Tamandua tetradactyla: one gene and its partners. The protein of the gene in region 2 purifies or fractionates together with the protein of the main gene of each other region. This does not show direct contact. Links are inferred from orthologs where the notes say so. Each region holds a gene or a part of one and is shown on either strand. Other genes may lie near its edges.

Region 1 (8,002 bases), on a different chromosome or scaffold from region 2:
TCTCACTCCTTTAGCTGGGGGGTCAGTGGGGAGGGGTAGGGGGCAGGAGAATTGAGGGGGTGGAGAGTTGGCATGGGGTGTGGGGGATGGTTTGTAAACCCCCTTGGGACAGAGAAAAGAGCCAAAGTCAAGGGGCTGTAAGGAGAGCCTCTCTGCTGGGGATTGTGCCAGTAGGGGACACCATGATCAGGCAGGGACAGGGCATGGGGTGGGAATGGTCACTCTCAACCTAGAGAGTGACCTTCAGGGGATCAGCTGAAGGGCTGGGGCTGGGGTGGAGCAGGGAGTGACCAGGGTCTTCCTGACACGCCCCCCCGACCCCACCCCAGCCATCCCTGGCTCCTCCGCTAGACAGATCCCCAAGCAAGGAGACTAGTGAAGGGAGAGAAAGGCAGGCAGGAGAGAGAGGAGCAGAATGGTCAGAAGTAGCAGTGGGTGGAGAGAGGGTAAATAGCGGTCAGTAGGACAGACATGGCAGGAGGACACTATAGGGCATAGACTTCAGGGCTGCTTACCTTGGCTCTTCGGGGGCTGGTGCTGGGGTTGGGGCGCCTGTGTGGAGCCTTGACGTTGCACATGGGGCCTTGGCCGCTGGCGGGGCTCTTCCTACGTAGGATGTGAGCCCCAGGCCCCTCAGCAGAGTTAGGAGTGCCCCGCTCTAGGGGCTGGAGGTGCAGTTCGGCCCCCCTATACTGCAGAACCCCTAATAGGGCTCCCCCATCCCAGTGCAGAGATGCCACCGACTCCGGGTCTCCGTTGATGGTGCCGGTCAGGTAGGTACCCGGCTCAGCCCCGCCCAGTAGCTCCGGCGCCTGGCCCAAGTACTGCACCGTCAGCCCCTCGACCTGCACGCCGGGGTCCTGCTCCAGCTCTAGTAGCAGCGTCTCCCCAAAGGCTGACAGGCGGTACAACAGCCTGGTAGGGGTTCCCAAGCCAGGCAGGACACTGCTGTTGAGCTTCTCTGGAAACACGATCTCTTCTTCCCGGGGGAGGGGGCTGGCCGGCTGGACTAAGGGCAGGAGGGGAGCCAGCAGCAGCAGAAGCAGCCACACCAGCCCGGAGAGGGGCACAGTGGGGAGCAGCAGGCGGAGTTGGACTCCCCACAGCCAGCACTCCGCCAAGCCCCTCCCGGGACATGGGCCAGTCCGGGACAGGGCACTGGAGCTACAGCTGGGAGAGAGTGAGGCTGGCTGGGGCATGAAGCCCTCCATGCCCTGGCCTGAGGAAGCTCCTCTCTGCAGCTTGGGGACTCGGACTTGTGCCAGGCAAAAGGCAGAGTTTTCAAAGGGGCTGGGGACCTTCAGAGGAGATGGAGAAAACTTGGCCCCTAAGCTTAGGGGAGATCCCAGTGGTCTGGCTCCTCCAAATTCTCCTCCCGCGCCTGCCTCTCCTGGATCTTTGGCTCTGCCTGCCAGTATCTTCTGCAGCTTCTCTGGCCTTTCCTACTGTATGACTTTGTCTGGCTTCCCCTCTGTTCTTGCCCTCTCTGTCTCTGCCTCCTTCCGTTGTGCCTTTGTCTCTTTCTCTCCTCCTCTGTCTCTCCCGTGTCTATGGGTCTCCTCGTGGGTTCTCCCAGCCTCTCTCCGCGCCAGCTCCTTTAAGCATCCCCAACCTCCGCGATTGGCTGAGCTATAAGCCACTCAGCCGGGAGCTCTGTCGGTGGGACTCAGATGTGTGTCTCATTGCTTCCCAAAATCCTAGATTGTGTTTTCCTTGGGAAAAAAAAAAAAGGGACTTGCCCAGGGGAGGGGAATCTCTAGCAGCCGGATAAATCAGAGGCACCCGGCCAGCTGATGACATAGCCTTTTCCCAAAACCCCACATCAGCTCTCAGATGTCTCTTTCCCTTTTTGGTGGACTAGAGCCCCAAGAGGGATAGGAAATCAGGGAAAGGGCCTGGCCAACATGCACAGAAAGGGCCACAGTCCTGGGAGAATTTCTGCTCTCACTGTCTAACCTGGCATGATCTCCCCTTTCTCAGGGCTCCTTCATGCTACCCCCTGCTTCTAGAAGCTGGTTCCCTGGACTGAGGAGACTAGTGAGCTGCTGGAGAAAGAGGGTGTGGACCAAGTTAAAAATCATTAAGAGGGCAGAACAAGAAAAGAAAATTGAGGTGCCTTGAGGATGGGACCCAGCAGCTAGAGAGAGTACAGGCCGCTGGGAGATGGGGTAGGCCAGGAGGCCATGACCAGGGCCCAGAGTTAGAATGAGTCTTCGAATGGGCACTTGGAGGGGGCAGAGGACAAGGCAGAAGGGGTTAACGACTTTTTCTTTTAGAGGAGGACCAGGGTGGCACCTCCTCTGCTCCAACACCCCTTCTCTCCCTCAGGCTCCCTCTTCCTGAGTTACCACTACCGCCCAGTCCGGAACAGCCATTCCGCCTCCGTTCCCCCCAGGGCTCCCCCTCCCCACTTCCTGATTCCCCTTTCCCTGGCCCAGCTCCCAGTCGCTTCCCCAGGCTCTTGGCCCTGCTCCTACCTACTCCCAACTGCCCTAAACCCTTTCCCAGCCTCAAGTCAGCCAGCCCTGGGCCCCCAGCCTGAGAAAGTCTTATTCTCAGGAGCCCAGACGTACTCAGTGTCAATAGAAGGGAATCCCCTATCTAGCTCCCTCCGCTGGCCCCACCTTACCCTGTGAACCCAATTCTTCCTGGAATATCTAGTAATCTTTTATTTCTTATTTGCTGTTCACCCTGGGACAGGGAGAGAGGGTGGAAGCAGCACTGTATCTACAAGGAAATTAAGGTATTCGGAGAAAGAGAACGTGGTGCTTGGGGGTGGGGCAACTGGAAGAAGAGGTGTGTTAGGAAAAGGAAGCAAAATGATTCCCTTGGTTCTGGACTGGAGGGAAGTCAGAAAAGAGACCTTGGGGATGTACTTTCAAGGCAAGGCACTAAGGGGTTCAGAAATAGGGGCAATTTCTGCTCACCCCACCCCATGGCCACTTGTTTCCCCAGGAAATCCCGAGGAAAGACAGTGCAATCAGCAGTCCTTTCCCTTTCCCAGGCAGACCACCTCTCCTCCTACCCCTGCCACTTCCCTACTCACTCTCTGCCTTGTCACCTCCTGTCCCCCACATCATTTCCGCCAGAATATTTCCTCTCCCCCTCCCTTCCAACTCAGGTTACTAATACCTGCTGGTGACTATTAGTTCCTGTACCACCCTCCCTCTTGTGACTGCCAGACCCAACTCTTGCCCTACTATATGCATGTTCCTAATCCTGAGTTGAGGGGTCTGGGACTATAAGAGTCAGACAAGGGTTGGGCGAACAGAAGGGGCAGGGGCAAGAGGAGCTATCCCCAGAGCTCTTGCTGCCCCTCTCCACCCCCCATCTGAGATAAAGACAAAGGAGGTGACTAAACAGTCAGAGACAAAGAGCCTCAGAGTCACAGAAGCAATGTGTATGTGTGGGGGGGTTGCCAGCCGGGAGAAGGCACAAAAGATGCAGTGTCCCAAGCCGCCCCCCAGAAGCCCTCACCCGAGTCCCAGCTCAAGCTGCCTCCAGGGCCAAGCAGCTCAGACTTCTCCCAAGCTGGATTAGGGCAAATAAATGCAGTCCCTGTAGCGTCCGCCACCATCTGTGACCCATTAACTGTGTCCCAACTATAGAGAAAGAGAAGGCCCAGGGGAAGGGTGAAGAATGAGGAGGGCAGCGGGGCTAAATCTCTGCCCTGGTTCTGAGGGGGCTGTCCTGTCCACCCCAGGTCCTGGCCAGTTCCCACAGCCACAGCCCTGCCCCCCACCTTTTGGTACCATTCCCATTAGGTCAATTCCCAGGCAAGAAGTTTGGCTTTCCCTTCTTTCTCTGCCACACCCCTGGTCTGTCTGTCTCATCCTTCTGTACTGCTGGTGGGCTGTGTCCCAGGAACTGTCTGGAGGAAATCTGGGAAAGGCCTCTTTTCGCTAGGGGGGGTGGGGGGGGGGATGTAAAAACTCGACGGGTGGCCCAGCAGGAGCTGGGCTTGGAAGGAGAGGGAGAGAACAGTGACTGGTCTCCAAGGTTTTGAAAACTCCATCCCTTCCTTACAGCATTAGAATCAGACTGTCCAGGACTGAGGCAGAGTCAGAGAGACCTGAGGGAAAAGACACTGACCCAGGATGTTAAGTGGGGTGTGAGACATCTCTAAAGGAACTTCCTGGGTCTGTAATTCTGTAAGTTTAGGGAGCCTGGCAATTATCAGGGGGAATTTCCCTGCCGGGGCTGGGGTGGAGTGTCTTCTTCACACTCCGGCCTGTTCTGCCAACGTTGGTTGCCTTGGCATCCTGCTACTCTTTTTACAGTGCCTTTTTTTTTGGGGGGGGGGGGGGTGCGGGGAGGCGGGGCGGGCAGGCTCCAGGAATCGCACCCGGGATTCCGGCATGGCAGGCGGGAATTCTGCCACTGACTCACTGTCGTACCTCCCGGCATCCTACTCTTTTTAAGTTTGGTTTAGGGGGAGTTCTCAGGCCCGCCTAGCCCCTCGGGCCCCTATTCCTTAACCCGATTCAGGTAGGGCATGTGGAAATTAGAGGGGTGCGCTGCTGGCTTTCTCGGTTCCTCCGAATCTTTTGGATTCAGGGATGGGGCGATAACCGAGAAAGCCAGAAGAGCAGGGAGGGCTCAAACACAGCTGCGAGCAGGACTAGGCAGGAAGACAACCAAGGGAGAAGGGGGCAGGGAAGGAGCCCGCTGCGCCAGTGTGTGCTGGGCACCCTGCGGAAGGGCACTTTCTAAGGTACACGCAGGCGGGCTCGGCGAGAAGAGCGTGAAAGAGTGAGTTGTTGTCCCTGGAAGGAAAGGAAGTTTCTCTGGCTCACGCCTAGAAAAGCCAAGCCTGGGGCAATGGGAAGAACCGTCCTCAGCGAAGATCACCGCAGTCCCCGTCCTTTAAACGAAAGTGAAGCCGAGGCTCAGAACCCGGATATTATCGTGTTCGCGGTCCGCAACCCTGCCAGCTTCCAAAAGGGCGGCTCCGTTTTGCTAATAGGCGAGAAGCCCCCAAGGAGGCGCGCGCGAGTCACTTCCGCCCGCTTCTCCTTCCTGCAGTGTGCAGCGGGCAAGATGGCGGGGCTGAGGGTTCTGTGCAGCCTCCGGGGCGTCACGGCCCTGGTGCTGCGGACGGGGTCTGGGGTCAGACTGCCGATTCAGCCCTGCAGGTGAGATCGAGGGAAGCTCTCGAGCGCTTTCCCTAAGGCTAGGATTTCTCGAAAGCTGTGGAAAACAGTTTGGCGGGACATTCCATGGGCCCTGTGACCCCTAGGAAGGAATGGGCCAGGCCTGTCACCCCTCCTCTAGGCCTGTTGTCATGGGTTCGGGATGCAGTGGTGCCCACTTTGGCCGCGGGAGGGAGGAGGGTCTTGACTCGTTCTCCAGGTGTAAAATCAGCGGGCTAGGAGATCCTGCCCTTCAACGTTAGTGTTAGTGTATGCTCCGCTGCCTTTTCCGACCCCGGCTAGGGTATGAGTGGTGAAGAATCTCCTTAGAGACAGGGTCACTGTAGGAGAAGAGGAAAGCACCCCTGATGGAGATAAAGGAGTAATGCAAACTAGCACCCCGGGTAGACCCCAGTGCACCTGCCCGGTTATACCTGAGTAACCCAGTGCTCAGCCAGCTCAGTCTGGGAGACAGAATGCTTACACATGCTCTCTCACCCTCTTACACTCCCTACTTCTTAGCTTAGTCTTATTTGGGACTTTGAATAAATATCCATCATTCATATTCTCCAGGATGGGGATATGAATATAAAGGAGCTAGGATTCCCAGCCTTGCATGCTCAAGGGCGATGGGTGAAGTGTAACTTGTTACTGGAAGTGGAATGCCTAGGTTTCCAGCCTGTTCTGCCAAAGCTATACTAACTCTGCGTCAGAGCCTTCAGGCACTGAAGGATTGAGGGCAACTTTTCCTGGTCCTATCTGAGAGTGAGTGGAAATTGGTTCTTCTCCTACAGAAGAGCCAAACACTGTTCAGGTTATTTGTTTAGGATTTGTCTTTAACTTCTTAGAGGTGCTCGGCAGTGGCAGCCAGATGTGGAATGGGCAGAGCAGTTTGGGGGAGCTGTCATGTACCCCACCAAGGAAACAGCCCACTGGAAGCCTCCACCTTGGAACGGTGAGTGCCCAGAATTATGGTTCCAACCCACACCCATCCTTACCTGAAGCTGATTTCCAAGGCTCTTGTCATTTTAGATGGTTGCTCTTTGTTTTAGGCAAGTGTTAGCCTCCATTCTTTACTTCTTTCACCACCCAATTCAGCAAAAATAATAATAGGTATAATGATAGATATTTATGAGGCAGAAAAGGAAAGGAAGGACATCCCAGGAAGAAAATTAAAAGTAGGTCCCAGTTAACACCTGAAGGTCCCTAACAAATTTAAATCTTCAGCTTCAACTTTTTCCAAAGGTTCAGTGCCACATTTCCTACTCCCTCTCTGGACAAGATAGTTTTCCCACGGGTGCCCAAATAAAACCTGCCTGAATACAAAACATTTTTCCTACAAAAGTAGTTCTTTCTTTTTGTTTTATTATTTTAATCAGTAACAGCATTCTCCTAATCCCTCAGGAGTGAAACCTTTTAGTCATCTTTGGTTCTTTTCTCTCTCACTGTCCTTGTCCAATAAGTCACCACATGTTTCACATCTCATCATTTCTCCCTTTCTATTCTTGTTGTCATCATTCCTGTGAAGACTTATCTTGTATTTAACCTTGATTATTTTAGGAGTCTCTTTAATGGGTTCTTGCCACTTATCTGTCCCATCTTAAACTCTCCTATAGAATGTTATTGCCTTCATCTTCCACAAATATCATTTTACAGTGCCATTCTTTCTCTTGCTCAAAAACCTTCAAAAGCACTTCCAGTTATCTTTCAAGAACTTAACAGTAGGGTGCATGGGTGGTTCAGTTGTAGAATGCTTGCCTTCCATGCAGAAGACCTGGGTTTGATTCCTGGACCATACACCCCCCAGAAAAAAAACTTAACAGTAGACCATCAAAATTTAGAACTTTTGTGTACCAGAGGACATTGGCAAGAAAGTGAAAAGATAACCTGCAGAACAGGAGAAAGCAGTTGTGAATATTATATCTGATAGGGATTAATATCCAGAATATATAAAGAACTACAATTCAGCATCAAAAAGATAAGCAATTCAGTTAAAAAAAATAGCCAAGGACTTCAGTAGACATTTTTCCAGAGAAGATCTACAAATGGCCCATAGGACTTAAAAAGATTCTCAATATCATTAGCTGTTAGGAAAATGCTTCTCAAAACTTCAATGCAAGATTAATTTATGCCCATTACGATAACTATTTTTTAAAAAAGAATTGGTGAGATTGTGGAGAATTTGTTTCGTGCATTGCTGGTGGGAATGTAAATTGGTACAGCTGCTGTGGAAAACAGTTTAGTAGTTCCTCAAAAAATTAAACATAAAATTACCAAGTTAACTGGGCAATTTCATTTCTGGGTATATACCCCCAAAAATTGAAAAAAGGGATTTGAATGGATACTTGTACACCAATGCTTACAGCAGCATTATTCACATAATTCACATCATCCCACCAAAAATGAAAACAACACAAACATCCATCAGCAGATGAATGAATAAACAAAATGTGGTATATGCATACGCTGTATACAGTGTACCTTGAAAACATGTCAAGTGAAGTAAGCCAGGCATAAGAGGGCAAATATTGTATGATTTCACTTATGTGAAATATCTGTAATGAGCGAATTCATAGTGACAGAAAGTGGGTTCGAATTTACCAGGTGTTGGGGGAGAAGAGGAAGGGGAAATTACTGCTTAATGGGTACAGTTTCTGTGTGGAGTGATGGAAAAGATTGGGGGGGTGACGGTAGCATAGCATTGTAAAAGTAATGCCCTGAATTATACACTTAAAAATGGCACATTTTATGTTGTATATATGCTATCACAATAATTAAAAGAAAAAAATAGCAGTAACAATAGCTGATGCTTACCATGTGCTCGGCATTTTTTATGCACTATTTCGTTTAATCCTTAGAGCAATCCTACA
Region 2 (7,545 bases):
AGTCAAAGATAATTGGTTTCTGTACCCAAGGGATGAGAAAGTGAGTCCCTTCCCCTACTACAATGTCTTGGACTCCACGGAACCGGTCAAAGATAACAGCTCTGTGTCCAGCATCCACTAGGAAGGAAGGATAACAGGTCAGAAAAACTCCCTAACCCTTTAGCCAAGAAGAGTATGTCTTTGAGAGATTCCTCGTGCTTTCTGTGCATTTATTAAGTCTTCTCTCTCCTGCTCTATCTTCCTGCACTTCTGGTCTCTAAAGGCTTCTAAATAGCTACAACACTAAGCAATCACTTCCTGTCCCATGTATCTCCCCTAGGACTTTGGTAATAGGATCTGCTCCTCAGAGTCCTTTCTCCTTGAAAGAAATCTGATTAACCATCTCCTCTGCAAGTCCCCAATAACACATTTCCAGGAATCACCTCCCAAAGTTCTTTGAAAAACTCACCAAAGTCTTCACTGTCATCATGCTCTACCATGCCTCCAGTGTAAGTTAGTGCTCCCATAAGCAGCACTCTCACCATGGGAATCCTCAAATTTAGAAGGCCCCATCCTTTCTTCCTAATACCTTGGCTTCTCTAAGGATTTTTAGGGGCTATACAGCTGTCTTGTTGATTCAGAGATACATTCAATGATAGTAGTAACTGTCTAGTTGTATAGGTTGTTGCCAAAAGGATCATAGTGTTAAGATACATCATATAAAGCAAGCAAGCTTTTCTGATCAGCTGCTTTCTTCCTCTGTTCTTTGGACTTTATGGATGGTCTAAATATCTCAGCTCTGAAAGCAATCTGCCTCATCATATCACTACACACGAGGTGGGTTGATCTACAACAGAATGTCAGAGTTGGAGTAGGTCTGAAGAGATAAACTACTTCATCTCCATTGCTTGATTAGTGAGGAAGCTGAGTCCTAAAGGGAAAGTGATTTGCCTAAGGTCGCACAGCAAAGCAGAAGAAAAACTGCTTAAACCCCTACTATACTGTTAAAAGTTGGGCAATGCATCTCAAAGGTATTTTTTCTGGTGCTACTCAACTGCAGCAGAGTGAAAGCTCCTGCTCAGGACAAGCTCATCAAATGGGTCAGAAGTACTTGTTAAGTTATTTCACATGCAGGTAAAAGAAGAGAACAAATGAGCTCTCCATTTCAGCTAGCCAGTGAAATCCTGGTACTCGGCTAACATATACTGGGGAGTGCAGCATCACTTGAAATCAGCAAAAGCAGCAACCAGCAACAGGGTGGGAGGCTCTTTTTAAATTAAGGCTCTGAGAAGAACCTATGGCCCAAAGAACCCAAGACTCTGGTAACAAAGCATGGTATGGGACAGAGGAGGTCAGCCCTCTTGGCCACAAGCATTCAGAAACATCAGCTATAATCAGGAAAGTCACAAGGTCTATGCAGGGCAATGACCCACCATCCCCTACTGTCTCACCATTATACAAGGCAGAGTTCACCACGCCTCCTGCAACAGCTAAGGCCAGGCCAAACTTGCCGATGGACTCAAATACTTTGGCAGCCATGTCTCCTTCTGCTGGACCTTGTCTTTTAGCTCACTCACTCCTAAGGGGGGTAAAAACAAAACAAAACAACTTGACCCCCAAATCCGCAGAGACAGTCAATCATCTATGAGGCACAGCATTCACTTCTCAAGCTGGCTACTTATTCCCCCACTCATAAGAGTTCTAACTCACCTGCAGAGGGACACAACTCAACAGCCTGGAAAAGTGTCTCAGCAATTTCTCTGCTTTTCCCTTTTTCAGTGCTATCACTTAAAGGAAAAGGCTCTGGAGCATTCTGTTCAATAATGGGAACATGAAGTTAAAAAGGTCGAAGAATGGGCTTGATACCACCAAGAACTTTTAGCTCCACACTAAAAAGTCCTCCCATTCCGAGGACAAGTAAGCCCCAAGAGGAAGTCTGTATAGTTGGTTCTGTGCAATTCTGGTTTGGAAAAACAATTAAAAGAATATGCTTCATGGCGATCCCAACAGATAATATTTATATCAAGGAGTGTTCTGAGGGCAATTTAATTAATCCTCATTAATTAATCCTCACAACAATTCAACGATTATAGATGAGGAAACTGAGGTATACAGAGCAGTTACAAGAGCCCCAAATCATACAACTATTAAGTGGTGTAACAGGATTCAATGGGGTTCAGCTTCAACCTTCCCCATATTGCTTCTCAACATCAAGCATTAATAATGCCATTTTATTATGGAAGCAGGAAGTTGATGACATTCTGGGTCCAAGAGAATGGAAAAAACAATTTGGGCATAAAGACTATAAACTGCACAGCCAGAAACAGCTCTAGTTGAGGAGGGAGGGCAGGACTGACGCGAAGTGGGTGGGAGCACAGGTCATCCAACCAGAAATGACTCCAGCATTTTAACTTTTAATACCCTGACCCAACGTCGACGTTCACCACTGTCTCAAATTCTTCCTCCCTCTCTCTCAGACCCCAAATCCTTTAAACTACCTTTATCTCTCCTCGAGCATTTAAATCTTCCTCCCCCGGGGCCACGATACCCAGTCCTTACCCCTCGGTCTTTCCATTTCTAATAGTCTCTGGATTATTCCTCACCCTGCCCCCATACACACCTCCCTTAACGCAACCCTTAGCTCATCCCGGGCCCACCTTTTTTTCCCTCCCTCACGAGGCCGACCCGCATACGCACCCCGCTCTCCCGGTACGTATGGAAAGACAGAAGGATTAACAAGACGCCGAGACAGAGGCCTGAGCCACAGCGCACAGTCCTCACCTACTTACACTCTGACCTCCACATGAATTCCCCAGCCACACACATTGCGCGTGCGCCCAGCGGCCACCCCTTCTCCGCCCCCTTCCAAGATCTGTGCCCCCGATTGGAGGAGAAGAACGCTATGTATTCTGGGAAGGGTGGTTCGCAGCCTTACCAGACTTCCTCCCCTCTTCCGAGGTGGACTATAATTCCCTTCAGGCCATGCAGCCGCAGGCGCGCGCAGAATAGCCGTTTTTCTTTGGCGGTAATTGCGGGGAAGTTGCCGCAAAGCCTTTTGGGCTCTGTAGTTTCTGGGGGATGATGCACGTGCCTGTACTGAACCGATGCTGGAACCTGGGGAATGGAGAGGAGCTTCAGGACCAAAGATAGGGATAAGTGGCTGCGCCTGCGGCTAGTGGCGCGGCAGGGTAGGGGCAGATTTATGGCTAATGAAAGAAAAAGAGTGGGCATCGTGAAGAAAGTTGTGGCGAATTAACTGGTGGCAAAGAGACCTTGCGGGAAGCTGAGGTACCGTGTTCTTCCCCAGGCCCAATCTGGAAACTTTCTCAGAATTGTGGGAGATTGGTTACCAGAGACAGAGGCAGTCTTAGAAACAAACCATCTACTCAGCACAACAGAAGTATGAACCCACTAGCAATTCCTGCCTAATGATCAGAATATGGGAGCAGGAGTTGTTTGGGGGCCACTAAAAGGGAATTTGGGGCTCACTGACGGAGTGTGGGAAATGGGAAGAAGTACAGGTCTGTTTATTCGATAGTCGAATATCTGGGGCCTACCAGGATTACTGGGGCTTGTAACAATGTTTAAAAACTCCGAATATATAAAGAAAACCTCAAAGGCAAAACAAAAAATTAAAACAACAACAAAACATCTGAACTAGAAAACTAAGGCGCGGAATGAAGACGGGATTCATTCAAGGTCATGTACCTAGTTAGCAAAGGGATTCAGTGTAGAGTCCAGGACAGGATTTTTAAAGTACGTTTTATTTGGAAAAGTTGCAAGAATAACAGAAAAAAACGTGTAATCTTTATTTAGATTAACCTTTTGTTAACATTTTGCTCCACGTGCTTTTTATCATTTGTTATCTAATTTTCTTTTCCTAAACCACTTGGGAGTAAGCTGCATACCTCACGGTCATTTATCCCTAGAGTATAAAGTGTGGATTTTCTAAGAATAAAGGTATCCTTTTACATAACCTGGGTAAATTTAACACTGATATAATACTTTAATCTGCCATTTACATTTTGTCACTTAACAAAATAGCATTTCCCCTCCTTCCCTGGCAATTCAGGATGCAGTCTAAGAAAAGATGCTGCTTTTAGCTCTCACTTCTCTTTAGTCTCTTTTAATCTGGAAAATTTCCTCAGCCGTCTGTTGTCTTTATTACTTTAAAAAATTAATTTTTAATAGAGAAATCGTATGTTTACAGAAAAATCATGCAGAAAATATACAGTTCTCATATTACCCTACCCCTACCCCCAACACACACACACGTATACACTGCTGCCTGTTATTAACACTGCTTTCAGTTCTTTGGGGAATATACCTAGAAGTGGAATTGCCAGGTCATATGGTATTTCTGTTCATAACTTTTTGAGGAACCATCAAACTTTTCAACAGAGGCTACAGCATTTTACATTCCACCAGTAATTCCTATTTCTCTACATCCTCTCCAACACTTGTTATTTTTCGAGTTTTTTTTTTTTTAATTGTAGCCGGTGTAGTGGTTGTGAGATGGTATCTCCTTGACGTTTTGATTTCCATTTCTCTAGTGGCTAATGATATTGAATATCTTTTCATGTGTTTATTGATCATTTGTTTATCTTTGGATAAATGTTTATTCATATATTTTGCCCATTTTTAATTGTACTGTTTGCCTTTTTGTTGCTGAGTTGTAGGATTTCTTTATATATTGTGGATATTAAACCCTTATCAGATATGTAATCTTCAAACATTTTTTCCCATTGTGTAGGTTATCTTTTTACTTTCATGGTTAAGTCCTTTGATGCACAAAGTTGTTGTTTTTTTTTAATTTTGATGAGGTCCCATTTATCTATTATTTTGTTGTTTGTCCTTTTGTGTAACATTTTATTACATTTTAAAAATAGAGAATGCTTCTCATTTTGGATTTGTCTGATGTTTTCTCATGTAATCATGAGAAAATTCAGGTTTTGCATTTTTAGCTGGGATTCTATATACATGTTGTTATGGACACCTAATTTTGATGCACACAAGCCCATTTCTGGTCTGTAACAGAATTAGAGTCCTTTAACTTCATTTTCCTACAATTTTCTCCTCTCCTCTGCCCCTCTTCCCTGCCCCACTCAATACAGTCAGTCAAATGACCAGAAATATCCACTCAGTGAATATTTCAGATGATGTGTGTTTATCATCAAAAGCGCAAAGGAGGGAAGTTCTATGAGAGCTGGAAATCTAATCTATTATCTTCATTCTTCTGTTCTCAGCACCTACAACAGTATCTGGCACCCAATAACCCTCAATAAGTGTTTGTTGAATAACTGAGTGATGGAGGGCATTAAAGGGAAAGTGACTGGTTAGTCAGGTTGTGAACGGGAAAGAAGCCAGGATGCTTCAGAATCCTGCAAAATTACTCTTGATATCATTTGCTTCTAATCCAATGTCAATCTCAGGAATGCTTAAAATATTAAAATTAACCAATTTTTATAGAGTGCTTTATAATTTTCAAGTGTATTTATCTAAAGATCCCACTAGGCATTATCACCATCTATTAATCACATTTTACAATATGGAAACTGAGGTACAGAGGTTAAATGATTTGCTCATGATCACTAACTTAGTCTGAACCAGGCAGGATTGGAACCAGGTCTTCTAGGTCTAAACCCCGTATTCTTTCCACTCCCCCCACACTTTGTCTTGAGAAACAAAGGCAAGGGGAAAGCTCAGGTGATGTGAAAGCTATATGTGGACTTGGACTAGTGGTTGGTAGAGAAATGGGGAGGGGGAGGGTATGGATACTGAGAAAGGTATTTGAAAATCATTTAATTGTGATGAGGTGAAGAATAGATTGGCACATTAACTTTGGGAGTGGGTCCAATTTGTTCCCCTTCAGTCCCTCTTCTTCGTGATGGAGGTTGGGATTAAGAACAAATATCTCTTGAATGCCTACTATGGACTAGTTGCATTATAAATACAATCTTTTTTAAAAAAATATTTTTATTGAGGTATCTTCACTTATCACACAGTGCATCCAAAGTGTACAATCAGTGGTTCACAATATCATCACATAGTTGTGTATTCAGTACCATGATCATTTTTAGAAAATTTGTATCACCCCAGAAAAAGAAATAAAAGGAAAACTCCATACATCCCAAACCCCTTACCTCTCCCTCTCATTGACCACTAGTATTTTAATCTACACATTTTTTTACCCCTTATCTACCCTGTTTTAGTTTGTAAGCTGCCAGAATGTAATATACCAGAAACAGAACAGCTTTTAAAAAGGGAATTTGCTGAGTTGCAAGTTTACAGTTCTAAGGCCATGAAAATGTCCAATTAAGGCATCCAAAGAAAGATAGCTTAACTCCAAAGAAAGGGCTGATGAAGTTCAGGGTTTCTCTCTCAGCTGGGAGGGCACATGGCGACATCTGCTGGCTTTCTCTCCTCATTTCATAAGGCTTCTCAGGGGGCGTTTTTCTTCTGCATTTCCAAAGGTCTCTGGCTGTGTGGGCTCTGTTGGCACTGAGCTTTTTCCAAAATGGTTCCCCCTTAAAGGGCTCCAGTAAGCAACCCCATATTAAATGGGTGGAGACACATCTTTGTGGAAACCATCTAATCAAAAGTTACCACCCACAGTTGGGTGGTTCACATCTCCATGGAAACAATAAAAAAGATCACCCAGCAATATTGGATAAGGATTAAAGAGCATGGTTTTCCTAGAGTTCATGACTGTTTCAAATAAGCACATTCCACCATTTGGACCCCCCAAAAATATGTTCATTCCGAATGCAGAATACAGTCATTCCATCACAATATCACAAAGCCTAAAACCATTTCACTAAAACTACAAATACAGTACAGTCAGAAACAGTACAAAATCAGCTACAGTCCTGGTCTGTCCTAAGGCAGAATTCTCCTCTGGCTGTGGACCTGTAAAGCTCAGAACAAGTTAGCTGCTACCAACATACAAAGGAAGTTCAGTCATAGGATATGTGTTTCCATTTCCATAGGGAGAAATTAGAAGGAACACGGGGGTCACCACACCCAAACAGTTCCAAAAAACTGCAGGGCAAACTACATTAGATTTCAAAGTCTGGGAGTCATTTATCCTAGGGGCTTTAGAAAGCAGCAATCTGATGCTTTCCAAGGGCCTACGTAGTAGCCCTGCTCTCTCCAAATGCTGGCACGGAGTTTGCAACCCTGGAGGACATTGGGGAGATCACTATTTTCTTGGATCCCCCCTCTCCAAGCATTGAGGCAACATTCGGCTCTCTGCCATCTCCAGGGCACACAGTCAACCCCTCCAGAACAATGGGGTAGCAGCCAGGCTCTCCCCAATCACCAAGGAATGTGCTCCACCCTCTCCAAGGCCTGGGCACAACTCTTCCGGAACATCAAGGTAAAAGGCCCACCCTTTGGCTTCAGATCTTAGCTTCCATGGTTCTGCCTCTGAAGTTATTTTTCCTTCAGTTTGTCCCTTTTCTGTCCCTTTTAGTCCAGACTGGCAGTGGTTCCATTTATAAAGACCCTGCAACACTTTTGTTGGTTTTCTATGCAGTATACTGAGATCATGCCCATCAGACAAAA
Region 3 (7,370 bases), on a different chromosome or scaffold from region 2:
ACAAAGAAACCAAATGATAACTGTGACCAATTAAAAAAACCCAGAAACCCAACAAGTCTAGGCATTATGAAACTACAACATGACTAATTTAGTAAATACCGGTTACATACACTAAAGGTGTTAACAGCAGCAAAAATTTGTAGAAGTAACCAGTAATATTCAATATACCATCCACGCCCAAAACAATCTCAAAAAAATTTTTAGAGTAAGAAAAAATTAAAACAAAATGAAATTTTACTTCATCCTCTTTGTAGAAGTTAGGGAAGGCTCAAAACACCCAAATATCAAAACATTAACCTCTCTTAAAACATTGCATTCAGGACTCACGAGTCTCACAAAAAACACATGGAAATCTTCTCCATGCAGGGCTACTAAAATATGGCCATTATATAAACGATCAGGACCCTCAAATTAATAAGAAGTTACTAAACATTTTCATGGCCATATTTCTGACAGGCATTGAGAAAAAGGATTACAGAAAGCATATAGGTTTCCTGCCTTCAAATTTGCAATCTTACTGACTAAACAAAGAGTCCCATCACCGGTGTCCTTCCTGAGTTTTGCATACAAAATAAACAGTCTGGCTAAAAAACAACATGAATATCAGAAATCATTGCCAAAGCCAAAATAAATCAGGCTACATACAGCCCTCTTGAGATAAAACTGCCTACTTCTGTCTCTTCGTCAAGATAACATATACATAGGGTGGGCCACGGTGGCTTAGCAGGCAGAGTTCTCGCCTGCCATGCCGGAGACCCCAGTTCGATTCCCAGTGCCTGCCCATGCAAAAAAAAAAGATAACATACATAAACACCTTTCAGCAATGACTATTTATGGGTTGAAAAAGTAGACAAAGGCTCATCAGAACTTATCGGATAGCTAACACTCACCACGCCACTGCATGACTTTGTTTTCACATCCAGTTTCACCAGGCCAAAACCTTCAACAAGTAGAGAGCAAAAGATAAGATTGAGATGCAAGCCAATAGGTGTCTATATGTTGAAAAAAAAAAAAAAGATTCCACATATCCAGAGGAAAAAAAATGCATGTTGATACAATATTTAAATGAAAATTAGTTCTACATAAACTGAACTTGTAAAGGACAGAACACCTCCATGCTGAAAAAAAAAAAAGCTTTCAAACTGTTTATCTAAAGAGCTATCTCTAATTGTAATCTGAAGAGGTGAAAAAAAATAGTCAAGAAAAATCCAAATTCACTTGAAAAAACCATATCGTTTGATCACCACCATAAAAGCAAAACAATAATACATTATAACTAGTCAAACAAGGCTGAAGTGTCTACAACTGAAGGAACCAAAAGTACAAGCTGTTTTTTCTTAAAGGTTAAAATCCTTCAAGTAGTTTGAAAATATTGCGGGGAATTGGGGTAAAGGGGTATGTAAATTGTTACCTAAAACGTGTCTGAAAGAATTAATGCAACAAAATATTTATAATTTGAAGAAGATTGAGATTAAGTACCCAAACATACACTTTCACTTTTTATCAAAAACGGGGGGGGGGGGGGGGGGGAGCAAACTTACCAAATCCTTTGTTGAAAATATCTCTGGCAGCTTTGCCAAGGTCAGCATATGATGGAGGAATACACATCGCTGGTGGGAAGAAAACATTCCACTGTTAATGTCCCTGCTCATTTGAATTGTGATTCTGATGCACTATGAGCTACAATAAACCTTTACTCCAGTTATCCCTCAAACAGGTATCACCAAAAAAGCCTATTTCTACAATGGATAACCACATCAAAAAGACTATACAAATTTGCTAACTTCCTTCCAAAATCGACTAACACATTTTCTATTCCGAAATTTACACAGAACTTATAGCCTCACTTCTTTGGACCAGACTGGAATCAAGCACAGCTAAGAATCTAATAAAAATCACTGAATGGGCTGATTTTACCAAATGAGATAAAATCAAAACCTAAGGCTAGACTCCCTCCCCTGATACATATCTCAGCATCCTGAGATCAAAACAAACGTTCTGAGTAGGAAAGAGAACTTAATGCACTGGGAACTTAAATATTGGAACTTAGACAAAGTACAGCTATCTATGTTTTACGCGTCTACAGGAACTAAATATAAAATGGCATTTTTAACATACTAATATGACAATCAAGTCCTGGGCCACTGCAGCGAGGTTTATGGACAATCTGAGCTCCTTACACCAGCTCATTCATTCAACAAAGCATGTCCACGCCCTCAGAAGCACATTGACCTTGCGCTCGCACAAGGGAGAGTACTACTTCCTCTAAAAAGTGACTGATCCAATCTCTCAAAGGGAGAATCCAACAATTGGTAACTTTTTGCTTTTTTGTTCGTCAAAGGCACGTCCAATAACTGAAAGTGAGTGTGGCCAGAGACCAACTCTCCGGGCCCAGTCTCTCCACCCGAGAATCCAGCAGTCCGATCCCTCCTCCGCAGAGCCCGGGTGGGCACATGGTAGAGCGGCTACCGGAAGGGAACGAGTTTCCGAGTTTTTGGAAAGATGTGGGGAAAGAAGTTGCAGTTTTATGGTCGGCAGGCTCTAACTCCCCGGACCCTCCGCCCCATTCCGCAGAGATCATTGCTCTACTCACGCCTCACGCAGCTCTGCCCGTAGGTCGCCATAACGAGGCCAAGGGAAGGGGTGATCTGCAGGAGGGACAAGAAGTGCGGTCAACGAAGGTCGGAGGCAGGTGAAGGGGCCAGAATCGGGTCTCAGACAGAGATGGGCTAGGGGCCGCGGGGCAGCGCGGCCATCTTAGGGAGTCAGGGCCGACCCCGAGTCTGACTCGGGCCTCCCGCTTAGTCGTCTCGGCCTAGGCCCCCCGGGTCGGTCTGAGGCGGGCACGGCGATACCTGGTTGACTCCTGACCGGGGTCGCCGCAGCAGATCCGCTCGTAGCTGAAGCCGCTAAGCTGCTTCAAGATACCGCTGCAGCTGCCGCAGCTGGAGGGCGAAGTGAAGGAGACACCGTTCCGCCCGCCGTAACCCCGTCCTTCCCTCGTCAGGACCCCGCCGCTCCCCGCGGCTCGCCCGCCGCGCCTATCCCTGCAGCTCCGTCCGCCACCCTCTCCAACTTGCTCCGGAGCAGCCATATGGACCGAGGACAATCGAAGACTCAGGTTGGGCTGTCTCTGTCCATTGGCGGGAGCCGGGAAGGCAGAAGCTGCTGGACTTCGGGTCAGGCAGCGATGAGGGCAGCCCTAAAGTCGAGGGGGCGGGGAACAGCGAAGACGACGCGACGAGGACCGCGCGGACGGGGATGAGGCGGAAGTTCGGCACGCGCTGGTCACGGGGGGCGGGGCGACAGGAGGGTGTCCGGGAGCCCAGAGTGGTTGGGTGCGGCTGTGCATCCCCGAAGGTCACGTACTTCTCTCAGCAAGTGTCCATATCCCCCAGAAAGACTCTATGTAGAGAGCGCCTGGAGCCCTGAGAACCCCGTCTACCCTGAGCAAATGCGGCATTTGCGCCCCACTCAGGGTTGGGACTGCTTCACACACGAGAACCGTAACTCTTGGGGAGACAAGCCTGTGCAGGTCCCACCTTCATCTGAATGAGACGGGTTTGGAGAAACTTCAGGATTCATGCTGATCGGGCACAGTAGGAACTTGATGCTGTACTTGAGTTCTCCGGGTGTGCGGGTAGAGTGGGGGAACCAAGGGAACAACAATAACAAAAAAAAAGAGCAATCTAATGAGACGGAAGTGGGGTCAGGTGGGGCTCCGGAATCAATCGCTTATCTCAGTAATTAGCCCCTCTGTACCTTAGTTTTCTCATCTATAAAATGACAAGTTTAAAAAAGAAAAAGACATTTAATAGTCAGTCAGTTATAGACTATGAGCAGTCTTTCCTCCCCCTCATTTCTTCTGGTTCTTAAAGCCACCTCTGCTCAAACGCTGCCAAAGTTCCATTCTCCTAAATGAGGGAAAGGATAGGCTAGATGGACTTTCACAATGAAAACCCTGATTAAGGGAAAGCTTGTCCCTCCCATGAGCAAGCCGAGCCATCAGTCTTGTTTAGGCATGGCTTGGCTTATTCATTTTGTAAAGGGTAGAAGAAAAGAGTCTGCCCATAAGAGATCAGGTACCAGAAGCGCTGAATCATTCCTTTCATTCCTTCATTCAAGCTCAGACAGGTCAACCTGCAATGAGCCTGGCTCCCCTGGGAGCTGGTTTGCTCCATGTTTGATGCTTTTGTGAGGGAAATGGCAGAGAATGGCATCCCCATCCCAATAGCTCCCAACTGCACCCCAACACACCACTTCCTAGAAAAACTGTGTCTGCTAAATTAGTCACCTCCATTACCTGCAGTAGGGTTTGTAACAATTGTAGTCCTCAGGGAACTTTACTTTACTACAGAACACAGGTCTGAAGCTCCGTTCTCTGCAAACCCAAGGCATGCACACAATACCTAATAGCCTGGAAAGGAAGATCTCTGGTTAAACAGAGAATCATGGCAATGTATTCCAAAATTGGATTTGGTAAATATATCTGAATGCTTTCAGTCCAAAGCTCTGTAGACCAAAGTGGCATTAGTAACAGCTACCACTTATGGAACAATTACTTGTGTTACCCACGGGAAAGCAAAGTCGAATGAGACACAAATCCTGCTTTCAAAGCTCTTAGGTAGGGTCAGGTATGTATAGGGGTGTCAAAACTTGTGAAGGATTCGAGATTTTACCTTTCTTACAAGCCAACAAGTTCGCCTGCCATGGCTTCATAGACACTTGCAGAAAATAGGAGACTCCTGAATCAAAGACAAGGGATTTTATTATGGCACAGAAGGCAGCATAAGCTTAACATTTACATCAGTTCTCTTGTCCCCTATATCTCACATGAGTGACAGAGAGTGGCCCAGATAGATGCTGTGCACACCATGAATTTGTGTCATAACTGAGGAACTCTGAGCTTAGGAAATCCTGTCTGCTACTAACAAACCTGCTCAACCTGTGTTCCAGAGGAAGACATTATACATCAGAGGAGACAGAATCTAACCTCTGTCCACATCACAGTACTAACTCTATCTTCCAAGGCTGTTTGCTATGCAAATATCCTTGAAAAGGTAGGCTGGCACAAAAGCTGACATGTAGAGTGCCATGGAAAATTGTCACCCAACAAAGGGTGTGGAATGAGAAAGACAAGCTCAGGAGTTGTAAGTACAGTAATAAGATATAAGTACAGAGAGCTATGAGCACAGTCAGACTGAGAAGAAACTTGCACTAAACTCTAAAAGTAGGATTTATCAAAACTAAAGCGCCGACAGGTTGGGGGATGGGAAGGCAAAAATCTAGAAAGAAGCATGGGCGACTTGGAATGGCAGGAATCATTTGGGAGCCACAAATGATTTAAGTAGAGTTGGAACAACCTGTGGAAAAAATTGAGCAGTTAGGCCAAAGAAGTTGACTGGAGCCTAATTCTGAGGGTCCTGAGCAGGCGAGTGAGGAGAAGTCCAGATTGGCTGGAAGCAACCTAGACTCATCTGACTTGAAAAACTTGGAACACAAAATCCCATTCACTCTGAGAAGGCCTCCAGGAAGAGGGGCAGGTTTGAGGGGAAACAGGATGATTCAATTTCAGATTAGTTGAATATGAGGAGCCAGGAGTCCCATCTATGTGGAGTTATCTAATAGACAGTTATGAAGGTTAGGAGAAATGTCTAGGTAGGAGACATTGACATGAAAATTTTAGTTTTAATTATGACTAACCATGGGAGTGATTAAGGTCAGTGAGAAATCAGATAGGAATACAGAAAGTAGAAGCCTAAGAGGAGTTACGGTGTTTCAGGGGCAAATAACATAGAGCTAAAGAAGAAATTGAGAGACTAAAAGACACCGCAGGAGGGAGTACTTTCATGGAAGCCAGAGGAGGAGTCATTGGGTGGAGGAGGGAGCGCTCAACAGAGTAACATGCAGAGAAGAGGTCAAATGAGGTAAAGAGAGAATATTAGTTTTCTGTTACTGTGTAGTAAATTACTCAAAACTTAATGGCTTAAATAACGAGCATTTATTATATGAAAGCTTCTGTGGGACAGAAATTAGGAAATGGCTTAGCTGGTGGTTCTGACTCAGGGTCTCTTATGAGGTTGCAGTTAAGATATCCGCTGGGGCTGGAGTCATCTGAAGGGTTTATTGGGGCTCGAAGATCCGCTTTCCTGATGGCTCCCTCATGTGACTTTTGGCAGAAGACCTCAGTTCCTTTCTATGTGAGCCTCTCCAAAGGGCTACTTGCAATGTTTTCATGACATGGCAGCTGGCTTCCCCCAGGTAACACTATTTCTTTTGCCACTTTGGCTGAAATTCACCACTTCCATCAAATTCGATAAGAGGCTTTAAATCACAGATACATCATTTCTTATAACAAATGTTGTAAGGTGATCCAAGAAAGAGAGACTGAAGCCATAAGGACTTACTTGACCCAGCGTCGGAAATCACACACTGTCACTTATACCTTAAGCTCTTTGTTAGAAGTTGTGCTGGTTTGAAAGTTTTATGTGCCTCAGAAAAGCCATGTTTTAATCTTGATCCAATCTTGTGGGTGCAGCCGTTTCTTTTAATCCTGATTCAATACTGCAGGTTGGAAAGTTTTGATTAGATTATCTCCACAGAGATGTGATGCCCCCAATTGTGGGTGTGATCTTTTGATTAGGTGGAGATGTGACTCCACCCATTCCAAGTGGGTTTTGACTAGTTTACTGGAATCCTTTAAAAGTGGAAACATTTTGGAAACTACAAAAACCTTAGAAATGACAGAGCTGATAGAGAGCAGAGCTGACAGAAGCTTCAGAGCCCAGAATGGCACAAATGCCAGAATGTGAACAGAGATACAGATGTTTGGAGATGCTTGGAGCCAGTAGGCATTGCCATGAGATGTTAAGCAAGCCAGATCCTGGAGATCCAAGGGAAGTCAAGAGATGAAGGCCAGCCCTGGGGAAGCAAAGTGAGGAATCCCTACAGGAACAGAGGCTGAAAGTAACAGAACCCAGGAGCAAGGGACCAGCAGATGCCAGCAACATGACTACCCAGCTGACAGAGGAGTTCCTGACCCATCAGCCTTCCCTGAATTAAGTTCTCTTTGCTGGATGCCTTAGTTTGGACATTTTCATGGCTTAGAACTGTAAACTTGCAACTTAATAAATTCCCCTTTTCAAAGCCATTCCAGTTCTGGTACATCACATTCTGGCAGCTTGCAAACTAGAACAGGAGTTAATTACTAAGACCAGACTGCATTCAAGGGTAGGGGAATTAGGCTCCACCTTTTGAAAGGAGTGTCAAAGAATTTGTAGATATATTTTAAATCACCACAGACCAGCCCCTAGTCACATTATTTGCATTCCTCCTACATGCAAACAACATTCACCTCTTCCTAAGACCTC
Region 4 (7,270 bases), on a different chromosome or scaffold from region 2:
ATTTTTACAATTTTTAATTTTGACTTTGTTCTTGCAATCCCTCTCCGTCTTGATCTGTCTTTCTTTTTTGGTGTTTGGCCAGGAAATCATACTTATTTTTTCTCTGATCCTTTTGAAGTCTGCAATCCCCATGCCTGTTCCAACCCCTGCAAAAAAAGCTTAGCTAACCTGTCTGCCACGCCCAGCGTTCTTCTGCTTAACAAATCCAGATGGCATGGTCATGTTCCCCAAGATTCTCGTCACTTTCACTTTGCTAACCAGATTTTCCTATTTATTGTCGGGATTAAGTCTGACCTAGCAGTTTCCCTCACTGTTTCTTCAGTCTTATGAGAGTTATAATTATCAGCAAGAGAGTGAAGAATTTATCTGATGTGTTGCTATTAGAATAATGAAGCTACAAACAGATATTTAGATAGTTTATGTCTCTGATCATCATTCTCACCTATGTGACAGCTTTATGAGGTACTGTTCATATCTTTTATCTGGGAAATTCTTATATACTTTCACGACTACAGTCATTTTCATTTCTCCCTTTCATCCTCACTGAATGCTTTCCACCCTGTGGCCAATGAATTACTATGCATACTTTCTGGACATATTACCACTGTTCCTCTCCTTCCATACCTCTCTCCGAGCCAAGTTTCCCTTCCTTTCCCAGCTGCCAATCACAAGTCCCAACCTATCAAATCTGAATGATACCTATAAAACTGTGTTGTCTTCCTTCTATTAACAGCTTACATTCACATTATTACCCAAATTCTGGGTATTGGTACCTAGATACATGTGCTGGTTTGAAACTGTTATGTACCCCAGAAAAGCCATGTACTTCTAATCCCAACAGGGGCAGGCCTGTTGTGGGTGGACCTTTTGATTAAACTGTTTCCAAGATGTGACCCACCCAACTCAAGGTGGGTCTTAATCCATTTACTAGAGTCCTCAATGAAGAAAATAAAAGACAGAAAACAGAGAGTTCAGAGCCGATACAGAAAGCAGAGAGATGACAGATGTTTGGAGACAGAAAATGCCCCAGGAGATGCTAAGAGACGAAATTCAGAGTTTGCCCCAGAGAAGCTAAGAGAGGACCCACAGAGGCTTGGAGAAGGAAGATGCCCCAAGAGAAGCCAGAAGGACCCACAGGACCTGAGAGACCCATTTTTGAAACCAACTCGGGAGAGAAGGACCAGCAGACATCATCATGTACCTTCCCATGTAACAGAGAAACCCCGGATGCCACTGGCCTTTCTTGAGTAAAGGTATGTTCTTATTTATGCCTTAATTTGGACATTTTCATGGCCTTTGAACTGTATACTTGTAACCTAATAATTCCCTTTGTAAAAGCCAGCCAATTTCATAGGCAGTACAACACTGGCTGAGTGGCAGAGTTCTCGCCTGCTCTTGCCTGCCATACCAGAGACCCAGCTTGATTCCCAGAGCCTGCTCAGACAAAAGAAAAAAAAAAGTAAATCAAAATCCAGTCAATTTCAGGTATATTGCATTCCAGCAGCATTAGCAAACTGAAGCAATACCAGAGGCCTTAAGTATAATTCTGACCCTTTATTTTCTCTTGAGAATTACTAAGCACAGCCTTAGCTTTAGTTAATCTTTATTATATTTGTATTCTATATAGCTTCCAGAAACATAATAGTTACTAACATAACACATCATAATACTATACCTCACTGGAGGAATTTGTTTTTAATGGGTTGACAAGGCATTATCATCGTGAATAGTGTTCTCTATTTTCCTGGGCTTTTGGTCCTGGTGTCCTTTATTTCATTTTATTTTAACTTTCAGTCTTATAAGAAAGTTGCAAAAAGCAGTACAAAGAATTTCCATATATCCTTCACTCAGTTACTCTATATGTTACCATCTTACACAAACACAGTAACTAAAAATAGTATTGGTATACTCTGAACTAATCTATAGATCTTACTCAGATTTCACTAATTGTACCGCTAATGTACTTCTTCTGGTCCTGGATCCAATCCAGGGTCACAGATTGCAGTAAATTGACATATCTCCTCGGTCTCTTTAATCAGCAACAGTTTCTCCATCTTTCTTTGTCTTTTTTGACCTTGACCCTTTTGAGAACGTCTGACTACTTAACATGAACATGATCATAGGCAACTAGTTTTTTGGCAAAAAACAAACAACAACAACAAAAAACAAGCATGGCATGAAGTTGCTTTCAAATGACCTATCTTATCATCTTCAATAAAACTATATTCAATATTACACCAAAGACTAAAAAGGGGGGAAATTCTATGTGACTAGTTGATCACCTTTTGGGGGAGAGAAAGAAACCTGACAGAACCACAAATATGAAAGCACTTGATTTTGGATGCTATTTTGAAATGGGTTGTGAAACCCACCTCCTTCCAAATAAAATGCTCCCTGGAGTGTTGCTTTAACTGCTGCTTTTCTCACCAATGAAGGTGAGGAATGACTGTAACTTCCAGAGTATATTCTCTATCATTCTCCGAAACCATAACATGAAGTCTTTTTTGTATCCACCTGCACCACTGTTACAATTGGCTAATAAGAAACAGAGTAGGGCCACGGTGCCTCAGCAGGCAGGGTACTCGCCTGCTATGCTAGAGGACCCGGGGTTTGATTCCTGGTGCCTGCCCATGTTAAAAAAAAAAAAAGAAAGAAACAGAGTAGCGTCTCCCTCCGCGCAGTCAAATATTTCCCTCAAGATCAACACAGCTGGATTCAGAGTTGCTCTTTGAATGCTTAGATTTATGCTCATCACTTTGAAATGTCCGAAATTCTTGGAAAGAGTAAGAAATTGCAAAGTATACTTTCAGAGGAAGGGCTTGGTGATCCTGGAGGACCTATACAAGTGTTAAATTTCTCTGGGTCCTTTATGGATCAGATCTGGAGAAGGTGGGAGAGAATGAAGAAAAGGAATGTGAGGGATATGCTGGCTATGCCTTCCAGCCTGCAAGGGGCTGCCTGCATTTTGCCTTAGGAATTCTGAAGTCTCAGAGCCTAGGGTTCAGCTACAGTTGCAGTTTTTCAGAAGTCATCCTTGTTTTTTGTAAACACTATTGTGATTATTTATACACAGGATCTGTGGTTACACTACTGGCTCCTGTTCTGAACCTGAGGACATGCACTCAAGCTAACAAGTTGGTTAAGGGCATGTTTGGGAAGTGCTTACCCAGCTCAAAGACTAATACAGCTCAGTAAACACTGTCTACACAATGGCTGTCAATCTTATTCTATCGATTCTTCCAAACCTTTCTGGAATCTACCATGTCCAAGAGTGCTTTACCTGGAGTCCAGGGAGCCAAAAGCTTATCTAGTTCACACAGTCTCTTAACACTTTGGGTACCTCTTTTATTTCCCCATCCTCAGTCCAGTCCTTTGGAGTTTCCTGAGTAATACTTGGCAAGATCTTTATCGAACTGTATTTGCAAACAGGAGTCTGGCGTGAGCTAACAGTGTTCTACTCTGCTGTTCCCCCAATTTCCTCTGGCTCCTCTGGTGTAGCACAGGGACAGGGGCAGGATTAGGGTGAGGAGAGCAAGACATTCTCCTTGGCGAAAAATTTAAGAGGGCGCCAAGCAACTCCGTAAGCAAGATAAATTCTTTCTAACGCACTATTTTAAAAAGTCAAAATTACCGCAAAAAATCCACGATGATCCAATTATCGAAATTGTAATTAAGGTCAGGCTCTGACTCTGCACTTGCACGCTCCTCCTCACTTGCCTTACCCTAATCCCAGTCCTGGGGCTCCAGTGCGACTTTATCTACTCACACACACACACTCACACACACACACAAACACAAAAGCGATCATCCCGCGGCCGTAGTTCTCCTATTCGAAGCGTAAAAATACTGCGTTAAAATAGTATTCATTTCGATGACTGAGTGTTGGGGGGCATTCCCCATTACACTGCCCTCGAGGCGAGTATCTCATCCGCCTTACGCTAGTCCTGGCCCAGCCCCAGGGGTATTTTTTTTCCCGGCACACAGTGACCTCAACCTTCCTCCCCACTCCGAGCCCTCCCCCCACAATCCAGCAGCCAGGTCCTGGGTATTCCCCGGGTCGCCCCTTCCTCCTGCCGGGTCAGGCGCCTCGGGCGAGTCAGCGCGGCGCGGACGCCTGCGCCCAGAGATGCAGCGGGGCGACTCCGCCCTCAGCGCGTGGAGCCACTCAGAGGCACCGCTGCCCCGCGCGCCAGGTTTCAGCGCCCGCCCCGGCCCGCCCCCGACGCCGGCCGCCTTGGCGCGGACTCCCCGTATATATATCGGCCATTTGCTCCGCTCCGCCCCAGAGCCCGGGAGTCGAAGCCGGTCCTCAGCTCCATCCGGTACCCGCCCGCCTCCTCGTTCCTCTCAACATGACAGATGCCGCCGTGTCCTTCGCCAAGGACTTCCTGGCAGGTGGAGTCGCTGCGGCCATCTCCAAGACCGCGGTAGCGCCCATTGAGCGGGTTAAGCTGCTGCTGCAGGTAAGGCCTGAGATCGGAGAGGCCGACCAGGAAGTGGGGGTCCGGCAGAGAGCGGAGGGGGGGGGGTCCCCAGGAGCGGAGAGGAGCTAACTCTTCAAACACGTACGGAAAAGTGGCAAGGTGGGGATGGGGTGGGGGGTGGGGGATGGGGTGGCCGCAGAGTATCAGACCAAAAGGCAGACTTGAGGGAGGTCCTTTAATGACCTGAAGTTCTGGGTCGGGTCTAGGAAGGGGACGGGACCCGAGGGAGGTGAGGGACACCAGGGCCGTGGCTGCCGCCCCGGGCCTTGGGGTCAAGGGCGCAGCCTTAAAGCCGGTGCTAGAAAGAGGAACGCTGGGCCTTACCGAAGACCTCAAGGTCGCGGCAAGGAGAGAGCCTGGCGGAGGCCCGGGCGGACCGGCCGAAGGGCCCCGCCGTGGACAGACGCGCTCAAACCTCGCCGCGCCGGAAGCAGGCGCCGGGAAGCGCGTGTGCTTGCTACGTCCACCCCCGCGCAGCCGTCGCGGTCGCCCGCCCGCCTGCCTGCCTGCGCCGTGCGACTCGCCGGCTCCGACACTAGGGGGCGCTCCCGGACGACCGTAGGGTGGTGGCGCCTCGGGTCACCTCTGGGAGAGGACTGAGGGCGTTGCAGCAGGGAGGGAGCTCTGGAGATCCGGGGCGTAGGCTTTGGTCATCAAGGTGACTGCGCCCTAAGGTGTACTCACCCTTGGAACCAGAGTCTGAGTGAATGACTTTTGTCCTAGGTCTAAAGGTCAACCTGTGTTTGGGGTTGCCCCCTTCCCACCCAAAGACTTAATGCCTCTTAATGGCTCAGATCACCTCTTCCACCTGTGACAGCTCAGAGGGTTAGGAGGGTCCTGTCCGTGGTGGTAGAAGACTGGGTGGGGAGGTAGGAGCTAACCTTGTAAAGGACATTAGTTAGGTTAATAGATTCTCTTTCCCTTCTACATGGTTGTAATTGCCTCCGTTGGCCTCCTTCCTCTCTTGTCAGGTGCAGCATGCCAGCAAGCAAATCACTGCAGATAAGCAGTACAAGGGCATTATAGACTGTGTGGTTCGTATTCCCAAGGAACAGGGAGTTCTGTCCTTCTGGCGTGGTAACCTGGCCAATGTCATCAGATACTTCCCCACCCAGGCACTCAACTTTGCCTTCAAAGATAAATACAAGCAGATCTTCCTGGGTGGTGTGGACAAGAGGACCCAGTTTTGGCGCTATTTTGCAGGAAACCTGGCATCGGGTGGTGCGGCTGGTGCCACATCCTTGTGTTTTGTGTACCCTCTTGATTTTGCCCGTACCCGTCTAGCAGCTGATGTGGGGAAAGCTGGAGCTGAAAGGGAATTCAGAGGCCTTGGTGACTGCCTGGTTAAGATCTACAAATCTGATGGGATTAAGGGCCTGTACCAGGGCTTTAATGTGTCGGTACAAGGCATCATCATCTACCGAGCTGCCTATTTTGGTATCTATGACACCGCAAAGGGTAAGTTTGCTGTATGCTTTGAAGCCATGTTCTTGCAAAGCCATTTAAAAGATCATTGTGCCAACCTTAATTGGCAAAGGAAGCCAGGGTCATCCAGTATAACCCTCGTACAGATGAAGGGATGTGTTTGGAGATGTGGAAAGTAACAAGTCAGTAAAACTCTGCTTTCTTGTTCTCAGGAATGCTTCCAGATCCCAAGAACACTCACATCTTCATCAGCTGGATGATCGCACAGTCTGTCACAGCCGTTGCTGGGTTGACTTCCTATCCTTTTGATACTGTTCGTCGCCGCATGATGATGCAGTCAGGGCGTAAAGGAAGTAAGTTTCATTCAAGCCGGAGATCGTCAAGAGTGTGGGCATGGGGCAAGCTGTGGCCACAAACTGAGGGTGCCTGGCTTTTAAAAAGGCAGTCTGTTCAAGTCTTGTGATGGGACTGATAGCAGCTGTGTCTGCTGCATAGCTGCCTTTGAGCCAGCCCATTAGATGGCTATGGATGAGGATGCTTAAATGGTATTAGAGGTTAAGGCCAATGAGTAGTCTGCAGATCCCTGTTCTCTAGACACACTATTAATATTTCAGTATTGTCCACACTAATGTGTAATGTTGGGTTTAAAGAAAACTGGCATTTTAGAGATGTAGGGCTCTTGTTCTAGCCTAGTAGTCTTAAGACTTTGATTGCCTTTGGTCACCAATTCCATGTCTTTATTCTTTGCAGCTGATATCATGTACACAGGCACGCTTGACTGCTGGAGGAAGATTGCTCGTGATGAAGGATCCAAAGCTTTCTTCAAGGGCGCGTGGTCCAATGTTCTCAGAGGCATGGGTGGTGCTTTCGTGCTCGTCTTGTATGATGAAATCAAGAAGTTCACCTAAGTTATTTTCTAGTGTTTCCCCTCCCGTGAACAGGCATGTTGTATTATGTAACAGATCTTGAGCATTCCCAACAGACGGTTGGCTGTCTATTTATCAATGGCAACAATTTAATGGTTGAAAATGGGAAGCAATAATATTCATCTGACCACTTTTTCTCTTAAAGCCATTTCCATGATAATGATGATGGGACTCAATTATATTTTTTATTTCAGTCATTCCTGATAAATAACAAATTTGAAGAAATAAAAATATCTGAAATACAATTTTGCTTGCTTGCAGTTCTTTTCGTTTTTGCATTTTTAATAAAGGCTATAACTATGGGTTTACAGTTACGCTGAGATGAAGAACTTTTATAATCAGTCCTCAAAAAAAAAAGTCCTCAGCCCATCCACTTGTCGAAGAATAACTTGGTTGTGTGACCTGCCAACATTTCCGATACTGTTAGAAAGATGA

The links.
Region 1: the proteins of PHB1 (region 2) and NDUFS2 purify together in Homo sapiens (affinity purification with mass spectrometry; 3 studies listed by BioGRID and IntAct, with this or other methods). This does not show direct contact. The link is inferred for Tamandua tetradactyla from reciprocal best matches to the Homo sapiens genes PHB1 and NDUFS2.
Region 3: the proteins of PHB1 (region 2) and VDAC2 purify together in Homo sapiens (affinity purification with mass spectrometry; 4 studies listed by BioGRID, with this or other methods). This does not show direct contact. The link is inferred for Tamandua tetradactyla from reciprocal best matches to the Homo sapiens genes PHB1 and VDAC2.
Region 4: the proteins of PHB1 (region 2) and SLC25A5 purify together in Homo sapiens (affinity purification with mass spectrometry; 3 studies listed by BioGRID and IntAct, with this or other methods). This does not show direct contact. The link is inferred for Tamandua tetradactyla from reciprocal best matches to the Homo sapiens genes PHB1 and SLC25A5.

The regions. Positions count from the first base shown.
Region 1 is NC_135330.1:14,329,395-14,337,396, forward strand, and holds the start of NDUFS2 (NADH dehydrogenase [ubiquinone] iron-sulfur protein 2, mitochondrial), read left to right. Parts: upstream 1-5,002; 5' UTR 5,003-5,040; coding exon 5,041-5,135; intron 5,136-5,980; coding exon 5,981-6,087; intron 6,088-8,002. Other genes in the region: ADAMTS4 (A disintegrin and metalloproteinase with thrombospondin motifs 4), read right to left, coding at 516-1,211. UniProt on the Homo sapiens protein: Core subunit of the mitochondrial membrane respiratory chain NADH dehydrogenase (Complex I) which catalyzes electron transfer from NADH through the respiratory chain, using ubiquinone as an electron acceptor. Essential for the catalytic activity of complex I.
Region 2 is NC_135332.1:30,599,463-30,607,007, forward strand, and holds the start of PHB1 (prohibitin 1), read right to left. Parts: upstream 3,011-7,545; 5' UTR 2,915-3,010; intron 2,873-2,914; exon of another isoform or gene 2,677-2,872; intron 1,793-2,676; exon of another isoform or gene 1,690-1,792; intron 1,559-1,689; 5' UTR 1,519-1,558; coding exon 1,431-1,518; intron 118-1,430; coding exon 1-117.
Region 3 is NC_135339.1:21,372,131-21,379,500, forward strand, and holds the start of VDAC2 (non-selective voltage-gated ion channel VDAC2), read right to left. Parts: upstream 3,015-7,370; 5' UTR 2,856-3,014; intron 2,649-2,855; 5' UTR 2,625-2,648; coding exon 2,594-2,624; intron 1,611-2,593; coding exon 1,542-1,610; intron 941-1,541; coding exon 891-940; intron 1-890. UniProt on the Homo sapiens protein: Non-selective voltage-gated ion channel that mediates the transport of anions and cations through the mitochondrion outer membrane and plasma membrane.
Region 4 is NC_135353.1:47,510,659-47,517,928, reverse strand, and holds SLC25A5 (ADP/ATP translocase 2), read left to right. Parts: upstream 1-4,254; 5' UTR 4,255-4,352; coding exon 4,353-4,463; intron 4,464-5,455; coding exon 5,456-5,942; intron 5,943-6,121; coding exon 6,122-6,262; intron 6,263-6,659; coding exon 6,660-6,817; 3' UTR 6,818-7,080; downstream 7,081-7,270.